3 linked regions of the Mus musculus genome follow. The main gene of each other region encodes a partner of the protein of the gene in region 2 in a complex. Links are inferred from orthologs where the notes say so. Each region holds a gene or a part of one and is shown on either strand. Other genes may lie near its edges.

What was found. The genes of interacting proteins can lie anywhere in the genome.
Region 1: Exosc9 (region 2) and Exosc5 share a complex: the UniProt entries of both Homo sapiens proteins name them as parts of the RNA exosome core complex. The link is inferred for Mus musculus from reciprocal best matches to the Homo sapiens genes EXOSC9 and EXOSC5.
Region 3: Exosc9 (region 2) and Exosc6 share a complex: the UniProt entries of both Homo sapiens proteins name them as parts of the RNA exosome core complex. The link is inferred for Mus musculus from reciprocal best matches to the Homo sapiens genes EXOSC9 and EXOSC6.

What each region holds. Positions count from the first base shown.
Region 1 is NC_000073.6:25,658,105-25,661,853, reverse strand, and holds the start of Exosc5 (exosome complex component RRP46), read right to left. Parts: upstream 2,702-3,749; 5' UTR 2,619-2,701; coding exon 2,471-2,618; intron 1-2,470. Other genes in the region: Bckdha (2-oxoisovalerate dehydrogenase subunit alpha, mitochondrial), read left to right, coding at 3,114-3,221. UniProt on the Homo sapiens protein: Non-catalytic component of the RNA exosome complex which has 3'->5' exoribonuclease activity and participates in a multitude of cellular RNA processing and degradation events.
Region 2 is NC_000069.6:36,551,114-36,554,862, reverse strand, and holds the start of Exosc9 (exosome complex component RRP45), read right to left. Parts: upstream 2,258-3,749; 5' UTR 2,178-2,257; coding exon 2,112-2,177; intron 1,829-2,111; coding exon 1,734-1,828; intron 1,058-1,733; coding exon 938-1,057; intron 824-937; coding exon 721-823; intron 226-720; coding exon 88-225; intron 1-87. UniProt on the Homo sapiens protein: Non-catalytic component of the RNA exosome complex which has 3'->5' exoribonuclease activity and participates in a multitude of cellular RNA processing and degradation events.
Region 3 is NC_000074.6:111,054,940-111,058,288, forward strand, and holds Exosc6 (exosome complex component MTR3), read left to right. Parts: upstream 1-1,399; 5' UTR 1,400-1,431; coding exon 1,432-2,253; 3' UTR 2,254-2,725; downstream 2,726-3,349. Other genes in the region: Aars (alanine--tRNA ligase, cytoplasmic), read left to right, coding at 80-265. UniProt on the Homo sapiens protein: Non-catalytic component of the RNA exosome complex which has 3'->5' exoribonuclease activity and participates in a multitude of cellular RNA processing and degradation events.

The sequences.
Region 1 (3,749 bases), on a different chromosome or scaffold from region 2:
GTACTGGGATTAGGGGTTTTGTACCATCAGGTGTTTTTGGTTTGTTTGTTTGTTTTTGCCTTTAAGGTAAGCTACTGTGCCGGCTAGTTGCTTCTTTTGCTTTGCATTTTGTCAACTTAGCCATACCTGGAAAGAGGAAACTCAAATGAGGAATTGCCTCCATCAGACTGGCCTGCAGGCAGGTCTGTGGGGGCATTTTCTTTTTCTTGAGACAGGGTCTTGCTGCATGATCCTGTAGGGCATTTTAGTGATCAACAACTGATATAGAAGGGCCCCCACTCACTGTGGGCAGCGCCACCACTGGGCAGGTGGTCCTAGGTTATCTATGAAAGCAGGCTGAACAAGCCATGAAAAGCCAGGTTCTGCCACGTTGATTCTGGTTATGTCCTTGTCACAGCAAGAGACTCCTAGTGAGGACAAATGTCAAGTAATAGGGATATTGTGTCATTATCATACATACACATCATTTGCACTGCTTGCCTGCCGCAGCCACAGCCCCCTCCATCGGGTGTTCTTACAGGAGCCTTTGAGGTCAGAAGTGTCTGCAACATTCTTTTTGAAAGTCTGCCAAGTCTCCAGCTTGCACTAGGGCCCTGTGAGTTTAGGGTTTTAGAACATGGGAAGGTTCCCTCTCTATTTCTTATATCCCAAGAGATAGGGGAGGCTGATTTCAGCAATGAGCTAAGCTGAGAGCCAGCCTGGGATGAGAACACTAAACATCTGTGGGTGCTTCTCCAATGAAACCAGAGGTAACCCAATAGACTCAGGTGCTTACTAGAGCTACATTCCTGTACTGCTAGATAGACTGTGCTCTCAGCGAGCAAGGGAGTCTCTTTCTTCCCACCATCTCGATGATGTGGCTGCAGAAATTCTCTTCTTTTCCCCCTAGTATTTATTTTACTTTTTAAGTTATGTGTGTGTGTGTGTGTGTGTGTGTGTGTGTGTGTGTGTATAGTTCCCTGCAGAGGCCATAACAGGGCTTCCAATATCCTGGCTCCCCACAAGTTACAAGTGCTTGAAAGCTGCCTGAATGGGTGCTGGGAACTCAACTTTGTTCTCTGTAAGAGAAACCATTTCTCCAGCCCCGAGCTGTCTCCCCTTTTTTTTTTTCCCCAAGACAGGGTTTCCTGGCTGTCCTGGAACTCCCTCTATAGACCAGGCTGGCCTCAAACTCATAGAGACCCTGCATCTGTGTCTCAAGTGCTGGGACTAACGGTGTGTGCCACCACTGACCTGCCAGTTTTCTCCTTTCTTAAGCTCTATCAGTCGTCAGCTCTTGCCCCATCTATCTGATTCCTTCGCAGGAAAATGCCTGGAGACTTGTCTCAACTGTTTTTTTTCTCGCTCTTTCTGACCCACCACTATAAGCAATGACCTCTAGCTTATTAGCCATAAGGTGATCAGCCTTTAACATCTCAAACAAACTCACCATTGTCAACTCTGTCTCTGCCCTCTCATCTGTCTACTCTGGTAGTTTCTCACCCTCTCATGACCTCTCAAAGTTGGCTGGCCCGACTGGGATATAGGGTTGTGTGGGTCTCAGCCACAAGACTTCTCTTTTCTCCCTATTCATTTAGTCTGATGAAATGTGTATACCAAGGAAAGGCACGTTTTCTTAAATGATGGGACCGGGGAAGGGGAGATGCTTCTCAGCCCAGGATGGGAAGATCACATTTAATTTGAAGAGCACTTACTTAGATGTATCATCTGCCACAGTAATTATATTTAAACCAGTGGTGGTGATGTGTCTGTCTCAAAGGGTATTTATGCAAATAAACACCTTAGCCTCAACCGGTGATGTATGGATCTAGAAGTGTTTTTTAAGAAATCTAGTCAAAGCCAGGCGTGGTGGCGCACGCCTTTAATCCCAGCACTCGGGAGGCAGAAGCAGGCGGATTTCTGAGTTCAAGGCCAGCCTGGTCTACAAAGTGAGTTCAACAACAAAGTGAAAACAACAACAACAACAACAACAACAAAAACCCAAGAAATCTAGTCAAGGGGAGCTGGAGAGATGGCTCAGTGGTTATGAGCACTGACTGCTCTTCCAAAGGTCCTGAGTTGAATTCCCAGCAACCACATGGTGGCTCACAGCCATCTGTAACGGGATCTGATGCCCTCTTCTGGTGTGTCTGAAGACAGCTACAGTGCTCTTATATAAATAAAATAAGTCTTGAAAGAAAGATAAAAGAAAGAAAGAAATCTAGAGAAGGGTAATATCTGCCTTGGTGAAATACCTATTCTGGGATAGTCACTCTTATGAGAGTGGTCTTGCTCTCGATCTCCTCTGAGAGGGATTTACCAGGCTGGCCAACTCATTTCTTCTCGAGACGGGAGGTGGGTATACTCAACATCTAGAAATAAGTTCAAGGAGGCGGGCGTACTTGGTTACATACTACACAGTAACCGCTCTTCAAAAACCCTTCTTCGGTGAGGATGGCGCGCGCTGAGTTAAACTTGGTGAGGCTCGTACCTTGAAGAAAAGAAGCAGATCCATCCGGCCGGGACAGCAGGTTTTGCTCACAAGCAAAGTGCCGGAGACTGCAGACTGGACTTCGGGGGCTGGACTCTGTTCCGGTGTCAGTGAGTAAATTGGCGTCTGCACGCTTTGCGCCCTCCATAGCCGCTGACCACGCGCGCTGCGGCTCCCACCGTAGCTTCCGCTTAGCGGCGCGCGCAGTTCTACCGGCCGCGTACCTATTGCGCATGCGCCCGTCTAGGGCACGCCCGAGTTGGCCCTAGCACGTGGCTCAGCGTTTACTAACAATCTGGTCCCGCCCACCTCCACCTCCCAATTCTGGCATAGCCATTGGACAACAGGGAACAGGGGGAGGGACTTGGAGAGGGCCCATTTTGCTCAGGGCTCCGGGTCCTGAACCCTGAAGGTTCAAGTTAAGTTGTCCTTTTAGTTGCCTGAATTAGGAGCAACTAGAAGCAGACGACCGGAGCAATTTTAGAGACTAAAAATTGCCACCTTACTCATTTATGCGTCTTTGTCGCAAGGTGGTTAGAAGCAGATAGCGTGTTGGCCTAGCGGTGCTGCTATTTGAATAAGGCATCTGGTGGGACAGCCGTATGTCTATCCTGTGAGAAAGGAGGAGTGGTTATTAGCCAAGATGGCGATAGTGATGTCTGCGGCCAAGATCTGGAGGCCGAGCCGTGGCCTGCGCCAGGCTGCTCTTCTCCTGTTGGGACGATCTGGGGTTCGGGGCTTGGCTAGATCTGTGAGTATCTGAGCCCCACGGGGTCTTTCTTAGGGAGAAATAGAGACGTAAAAGTTATTCTTACATTGTGTGAGACACCGCGGGCTGTGAAGGAAAGAAAGAAAAGGTCCGAGAAACTTCTTGAAGAGAAATTCAAGGGAAGAATCCCTTTAGAGGAAAAGCAAGGCAGCTACTTGTGGGCCTCGATAGAAGGAGACGAGACGGGGGTTGAAAGGACAGATCAGGTTTTCATAGGGTCCTACATTGCTTAAATTCCAACTGTAAAGGGAGTTGAGCAAGAAACTGGTTTGATTCCTATGCCACCTGATCAAAAGGCAAGGCAAGGGACTTTGCCATGACTGTCCTTTACACAAGATGATTATGAAGGGAGACAAAGAGAGCTACAAGTTCAAACAGGACCCTTTGCCCACGTTATTTTTTTGAGACAGGATCTCACCCACGAGTCCGGAATGGCCTTTAGCTCACCCAGATGCTTAGACAGGCATCGAACTGGAGATAGTCCTGTCCCAGCCTCCCAAGTACTGGCAT
Region 2 (3,749 bases):
ACCCTAAATGCTATCTGCCATGTCTCCTGTCAGCACACGAAGGATTTGCTCACAGGAACAATTCTGATCGGAGCCCTGGAAGCTTACCAGTGTTACTTCCTCTCCTTGGACAGAGACATCAGGTCTTCGGAAGTGACACAAGGCTACAATTGCAGCAATGCTAGCAGCATCAATAATATTCCCATCATGATTTAATAAATGTAGGTCTACACGGATCTGCCAAACCTGAAAGTGAATTTAATATAAAAATAAATCCCAACTGAGCATGACCAATGGCCACTGGTAAAGAAATACTGCACTTTTTTTTTTTTTAACGTATACGGCTAATCCTTCCAGTTTATCCAGGAAAAATGCAGTTAACTTTAAAACAAAACACTTGAAATACTAATAGTTAACTTATCTATGGGATTCATTTGAAAGACTAAGAATATGTAACTGAATGGAAGCATTCTAACATTTGAAACTTATGTTTTTTAAAAAACACATTTATTTTCCATGTATGCACATTTGCTTGCATGTATGCATGTACCACACTCATGCCTGGTGTCCCCAAAACTGTGTTAAAGCTTCTGGAACTACAGTTACAGAGGTTGTGAACCGCCATGTGAGTGCTGGCAACCGAACCCAAACCTCTGCAAGGTCTCCAGGTTCCTACGTCTGTTTTAATTGTGTCTGAATCAACAGTATTCATTGTTAAGATATTTTGAACATATTTCTCACCTTTTCACCAGCGACAACACAGAGAGATTCAGTGTCTATACACTTTGAATTTCGTAGACACCTTTCTAAGAGTCGATTCAGCTTCACCAAGAGATCTGACTGCCTATGGAAAGAAGAACGAACTAATGTGATAAACTTCGACTGTGAGCAGGAAAACAATATCTCACTGAGGGTAAGTTCTTCCATGGCTAAAGTAACTTAACAAAGAGTGAGATACCTGCCAGGCTCAAAAGCTGGAGCAGCCATCTGAGAAAGCTCAAGGTTAAAAAAGAGGATACCTTCCGTTGCCCTATTGAGTTTCGGAGAAACAAGTTCACAGGAAACCTGTCCAAGGACTCTGCAAAAATAAAGGTGCAAAGCAGTCAACTAAACGTACTTTCTTTTCAATTAAAAAAAAAAAAAAAAGGGTGACGAAATCTAAAATAACAACAACAACAACAAAAACCTAAACAACACAATGTGACATAAGAGGCAGAAATTACATATAGAATGTGGTAAACTGGACCCAGCAACCTGCCTACACACACACAATAATGCACATACACAATAATAAAGGTTTTTTTTTTTAAGGGTAAGTAGATTTCACGCAGAAATAAAAAATATTGGTATACACAAAAGGATGACAGAAAGGAAATCTCTTATTTCTTACATCATTTGAGAATAAAAGGGAAACTGAGGCTTACTGATGACATGATCGATACACTCCTCACACTAGAAAATGAGACATGCAGATAACCTGTGTGATCAATGTTAGCTGTCTACATGATTTATAATGGTCATACGGAACTATGATACTCATATAACAGAAAGCACTAATGGTTGAAAGTTAAACTGCGCACAAAACTAAAAAAGGCTGGCATTAAAGAAACATATTTCTCATCAGAATAATGATAATAATAAGAATAAGAATAAGAATAGCACGTTTGGAATTCGGAGCTGCTCAGTAAACAACCGAGTCAGTATGTTGTGATTTTCACACCTCCTGTTGCATTATCTAACTTGAATCCTGTTACCTTGTTTTTCCCAGTTCCACAATACAGCATCCATAATCCGTTCCGAATGAGATCCTGATGTTCCTGTAATCATAGGTCTGTCTGCCGTCCAGGCGCTGTAAGCAAACACCATTTACTGCTTTAACATATTTATGAGTGGCAACTGTGTCTGTGTGGTCCTGGTTCCCAACGTCCCTGCCACTGAATACTGCTGGCTTAAGGTTCAAAGGAACTGGTCAGGGTCAAATACTGCCCTGAGGCTTGGGGAATGGGGAGAGTCCACACTGGGCAGCCCCCGAGTCCACACCACGACCACACAACAGGCCGAACTGACAATGTATCCACGGACAACCCGAGTCTACACCCAAAGCCACGGTGTTCACACCGCAGGCCTCGCACCTTCTTCTCCTCAATTGCGCGGAGCAGGAAGCGGCGCTCACAGTTGGAAAGCGGCGTCTCCTTCATAGTGGCGGGCCACGCAAAGGATGAACGGCACCGAGACAAGTCCGCACACCGGCTTCTTCCCGGCGCGGAAAACCGACGTCATCCAGGCGCAGGCTCGGGGGCGTGGTGTGGGCGTGGCTAGAGATCGGGGGCCGCTGGGGCCGGTACAGGCAGTGTAGCAAATCAACGAAGATTTCCCGGGTTGGTCCTGCCCGGCATCGCAGTGGAGATTAGCATCTGCAGTGCAGTCCTGTTCCTAGTTTTTTATTGAGACAGAATCTCACTCTGTCTCTGACTGAACTCAACAGAGACTTACTTATCCCTACAAGTCGTAACAGTTCTTGCTTTGGGGGTAGGAAACAAAGATTTCCCCAGCTCTTGGGTCTGGATGTCTACCATCTTCCAGGCTGACCTAAGTATTGGGATTCCCTGGCACTTCACCACAGAGACAGTCTACTGAGGATGCTGACTTTTGTCAGAGAAAGATGGAAGGGTGGTGCGAATCGGTGGAGAATCCTTGTAAGGGCTTGGGGCGGATGGGGAGGATGTAGCCGACTAAAGGTGGTTCACATGGGACCTGAGGACGGGAAAACAAGTGAAGTGTAACGTCACTGACTGGAACCTCGTTTACTGCTTATATCTCATTTTAAACCGACAGGCTTATTTTTACAGACAGACATGTGTCCTCCATCTGCTGGCCGGTGTCCTGATTCACCCACATCAAGAGCTGGTATTTGACAGCTTGCGCAACGAGTGAGGCAGCAGTAGGTGATCCTTTAGTGCCCAAATCTTCTGTTTCTCCTTTTTTATTATTGTTTTTTTATTTTAATTACAGAGTCTCACTGTGTATCACTGGAACTAACAGAGATCCACCTGACCCTGCAAAGTTGTAACAGCTCTTGCATGGGTTTAGGAAATAGGGATTTCCCCCAGCTCTTGGCTATGGCTAGCTAGCAGCTTCCAGGTTGACCTAGTTTTTGGGATTTGCAGCAACAATGAATGCTACAGCTCTTGGCCCAGGGTCTGAGACCTTGGCCCCAAAGATTTAACAACTCTGAAACGTTCCAGTTGTCAGGACTGTAGTTTCTGGTCTTGCTCTCTGTTCTCTCCAGCTGTCCCTTTTCTGTGCTGCCTTTCTTCCAGTCCCGGCTGCTTTTGAACTATTCAGCTGCTGCTTCCTCGGCTGTCCAGCTGCCCGGCCTTGCCATTGTCTCAGCGTGGCCGCCAGACTGCACAGCTGCGTATGCATCACCGCTCTCAGCTGCCCCAGCTGCTTTTCCCGTTGCCCCCTCAGTTCACAGAACAGAAAGAGAAAAGTTTCCTTGAATCAGATGCTTCAAATCCAGAGAAGACAGCACAGGGTAGTGCCTTCCAAGCATCTCACTAGGTGATCCTGAGCATACATCTTCTATTTTTCTGGATTTTTTTTCCTCTCGTAAATATAATGGTTTAATTATGGAAAACAAAGAAGTTAATGTTTTTCTACCATTATTCTTCAGCGTGTACTAAATCAGTATACCTTTGAATTCTACTGTGTTAAAATGTTTGGTTTATGGGCTGGAGACGTGCCTTAGAGTTAAGAACTGTTGGTCT
Region 3 (3,349 bases), on a different chromosome or scaffold from region 2:
ATACAAATGGATGTTGGGGGCGCCTGCCATTCCCCCCTCAATCCCATTCTGACTACCATTTTCCCCTCCTATCTCCTAGAATGCAGCCAACCGGGGACTGAAAGCCAGCGAGTGGGTCCAGCAGGTTTCAGGCCTGATGGATGGTAAAGGCGGTGGCAAGGACATGTCCGCCCAGGCCACAGGCAAGAACGTGGGCTGCCTTCAGGAAGCACTGCAGCTGGCTACCTCCTTTGCCCAGCTCCGTCTGGGAGATGTGAAGAACTGATGGGAGGGAAGCCCTCTCGGGAAAGCAACTCGCCATCAACCAGACATGTCCGAAGGCGGGAATTCAGCCAGGAGCTCTCCTCCCGCCACGAAGACATTGGAGTCATGGGACCTCTCAGCAGCCCTGTCCGTCCTGATCCAGCGGTAATGGGAACACGCCTGGAGCTGTCCTGTGATTCATTGCCCCCCTCCATTACTGCTCTGAGCCCATTCATGTCAGCACCATCTGTCTAAAATCACTACCCAGGAATGCTTTTTAACGTCATGATCACATCTAGATGAGGTCACTCTGCCAGCCTGAGGCTTTAGGTCTGCAGAGGAAGGAAGCCTTTTCTCTGCAGAAAATAAAAAGGACCATGTGCAATACTTGGTGATGTCATGCGCTCTGCTTCTTGTCCTGAGGTGAGCCCTGGCTCCTGTATATCTGTTACGGTTCCAGCCTGTTTCTGGTTGATGGTATCACCGAATAGACTCCCAGACTCCTGAAAGTTCAGGAAATTCAATAGAAGGGTGGAGGAAAATAATTCTGAGTTGCTTCCAGTGGAGAACCACTGTTCTTAGTCTCTTAGGACAACCTCCACCATGCCTGTCCACATGCCTGTTTGAGGCTGCTGATATGAGGTCAGACAACTGATATAGGCAGTATGAACATGTAGGTGTGTCCTACTAACTGCCCCACCCCTACTGCTTTAACCTAAAGTAGGTTCAAGACCCTGGCCCAGCCCTAAAATGCAATTTGTATGAATCTACAAACAGCAGGGTCTGGAAGCAGAGATACTGTCTGCTTATGACAGTTCCTCAGAGTGTTAGAAATATCTAGTTGTACAAAGAGAGATACCGTCCATTTATTAAACAAGTGTTGAAGCAGCCAGAGGACTAATTGCACGAGTAAACAAAAACCTCTCACCTTGGGCAAGCTTATGTGAAACAGTCTGAATGCAAACTTCTAGGAATAACAACAGATCCGTTCCTTAGGACTAGCTAAAGTACCAGCATAGGAGTCCAGCTATACCTCGCCGTTCTTCCTCCACTCCGCTAGGTGGCAGCGCGCACACCTACCGCTCTCCCGATAGGCTCTGCGCGGGCGCGCATCTTTAAGCGAGCGGAAGAGCCGGGTGCGCAAGGGCAGCCCAGCAGGCGGAAGTAGCTCGCACGCCGGTAGCCGCCATGCCGGGAGACCATCGCCGCATCCGCGGGCCGGAGGAGTCTCAGCCGCCGCAGCTGTACGCGGCCGAAGACGACGAGACGCCCGCTGCTCGCGACCCGACGCGGCTCCGCCCGGTGTACGCGCGCGCCGGGCTGCTGAGCCAGGCCAAGGGCTCCGCCTACCTGGAGGCGGGCGGGACCAAGGTGCTGTGCGCCGTGTCCGGTCCGCGGCAGGCCGAGGGCGGCGAGCGCGGCAGCGGCCCTGCGGGAGCGGGCGGGGAAGCTCCCGCTGCCCTCCGGGGTCGCCTGCTCTGCGATTTCCGCCGCGCTCCCTTCTCCGGTCGCCGGCGTCGCGCGCCCCAGGGCGGCGGCGGGGAGGATCGCGAGCTGGGACTGGCGCTACAGGAGGCTCTGGAGCCCGCCGTGCGCCTGGGGCGCTACCCGCGTGCTCAGCTCGAGGTGTCGGCGCTGCTGCTGGAGGACGGCGGCTGTGCGCTGGCCGCGGCGCTCACCGCGGCCGCGCTCGCCCTGGCCGACGCGGGAGTGGAGATGTACGATCTGGTGGTGGGCTGCGGCCTGAGCCTCACCCCGGGACCCTCCCCGACCTGGCTGCTGGACCCCACGCGGCTGGAGGAGGAGCACTCCGCGGCCGGTCTCACGGTGGCCCTCATGCCTGTGCTCAATCAGGTGGCCGGGTTACTGGGCAGTGGGGAAGGCGGGCAGACTGAGAGTTGGACCGATGCTGTGCGCCTGGGCCTGGAGGGCTGCCAGCGCCTCTACCCAGTGCTGCAGCAGTGTTTGGTGCGGGCTGCCCGCCGGAGGGGTGCCGCCGCCCCACCCTGATTGGAAAAAACCGGAGCGACGAGGATTCGAGGACTGCTATCGCCCTTCTCTCCCTAAAGGACCAAGCGCTGATGGTCGCCTGACTCCGCAGAGCTGAGAAACGAAGAGTGGGGCAGTTGGGCGCACAGAACCAAAGCACTGGACAGCTCTGTTGGAAAGGTTTAAAAGGCCGTTGGAAACACGATCCAGTTGGAGAGATTTGAAAGCAGCCATACTCCCAAGTTGGAAAGGACTTGGGCTGGATTTACCTAGTAAATGAGATAAGGGGCTATGGTCTTGTAGGAGATGGACCCAGTGCAGGCCAGCCATTGGCTCCAATACATAATAAACTGATTCTTTTGAGAGGATGGACCAGGGGACTTTGCCTTCTCACTACTCAGAGTAAAACATAAAAACTATTTTATGACTGGAAATACATCTGTTGTGTTTTTTCTTGATACTAGAGTTAGAAACAATGCTGTTCTGAACTGGGTGTGTGTTGAGTCTGTGTTTTCAAGGGCTCCGAGTCATTACTGCCTTAAGTGTTCATATTAGCCCACTGTAACTAAGAAGGGGTGATGTGCTTTGTAGGAGAAACCTCGTGCCCTGGAGCATTGTCTGGGGCAGCTGCTGAGGTGATAAGTCTGAGGAGACTCCAGGACAGCCAGGGCTACACACAGAAACCCCTGTTTTTTGGGGGTGGGGGGAGGGAACTGGAGAGAGTTAAAAGAAGTTCTGGTGCCCCCCTATCCTTTCCTTTAGGACAAAATCATGTCTAGGAGTTGGGTAACTGAAGGATTATGCTCTGGAAGGACGCCCAGTCCCATCCTGGTGTCCTGTCCAGGCTTGGCTCCTGGCACTAAGGCTCAGTGCAGCAATGGACTACTCAAATGGGGACCACCTAAATACTGTGGCATCGCTTACAGCCTGGCTATTCCATAAGGCAGAGCGGGCCTGACCAGGATTATAGGGGCTTTTCTTCACTTAGGGTTGAATTGGAGGAAGCTGTGTGGCACTTATTAAGTAAGGGGTTACTTAATAAGTGTCAAGAAAAAAGTATACATTTTGGCTGGGTGGTGGTGGTACACGCCTTTAATCCCAGCACAAGAGGTTGGTT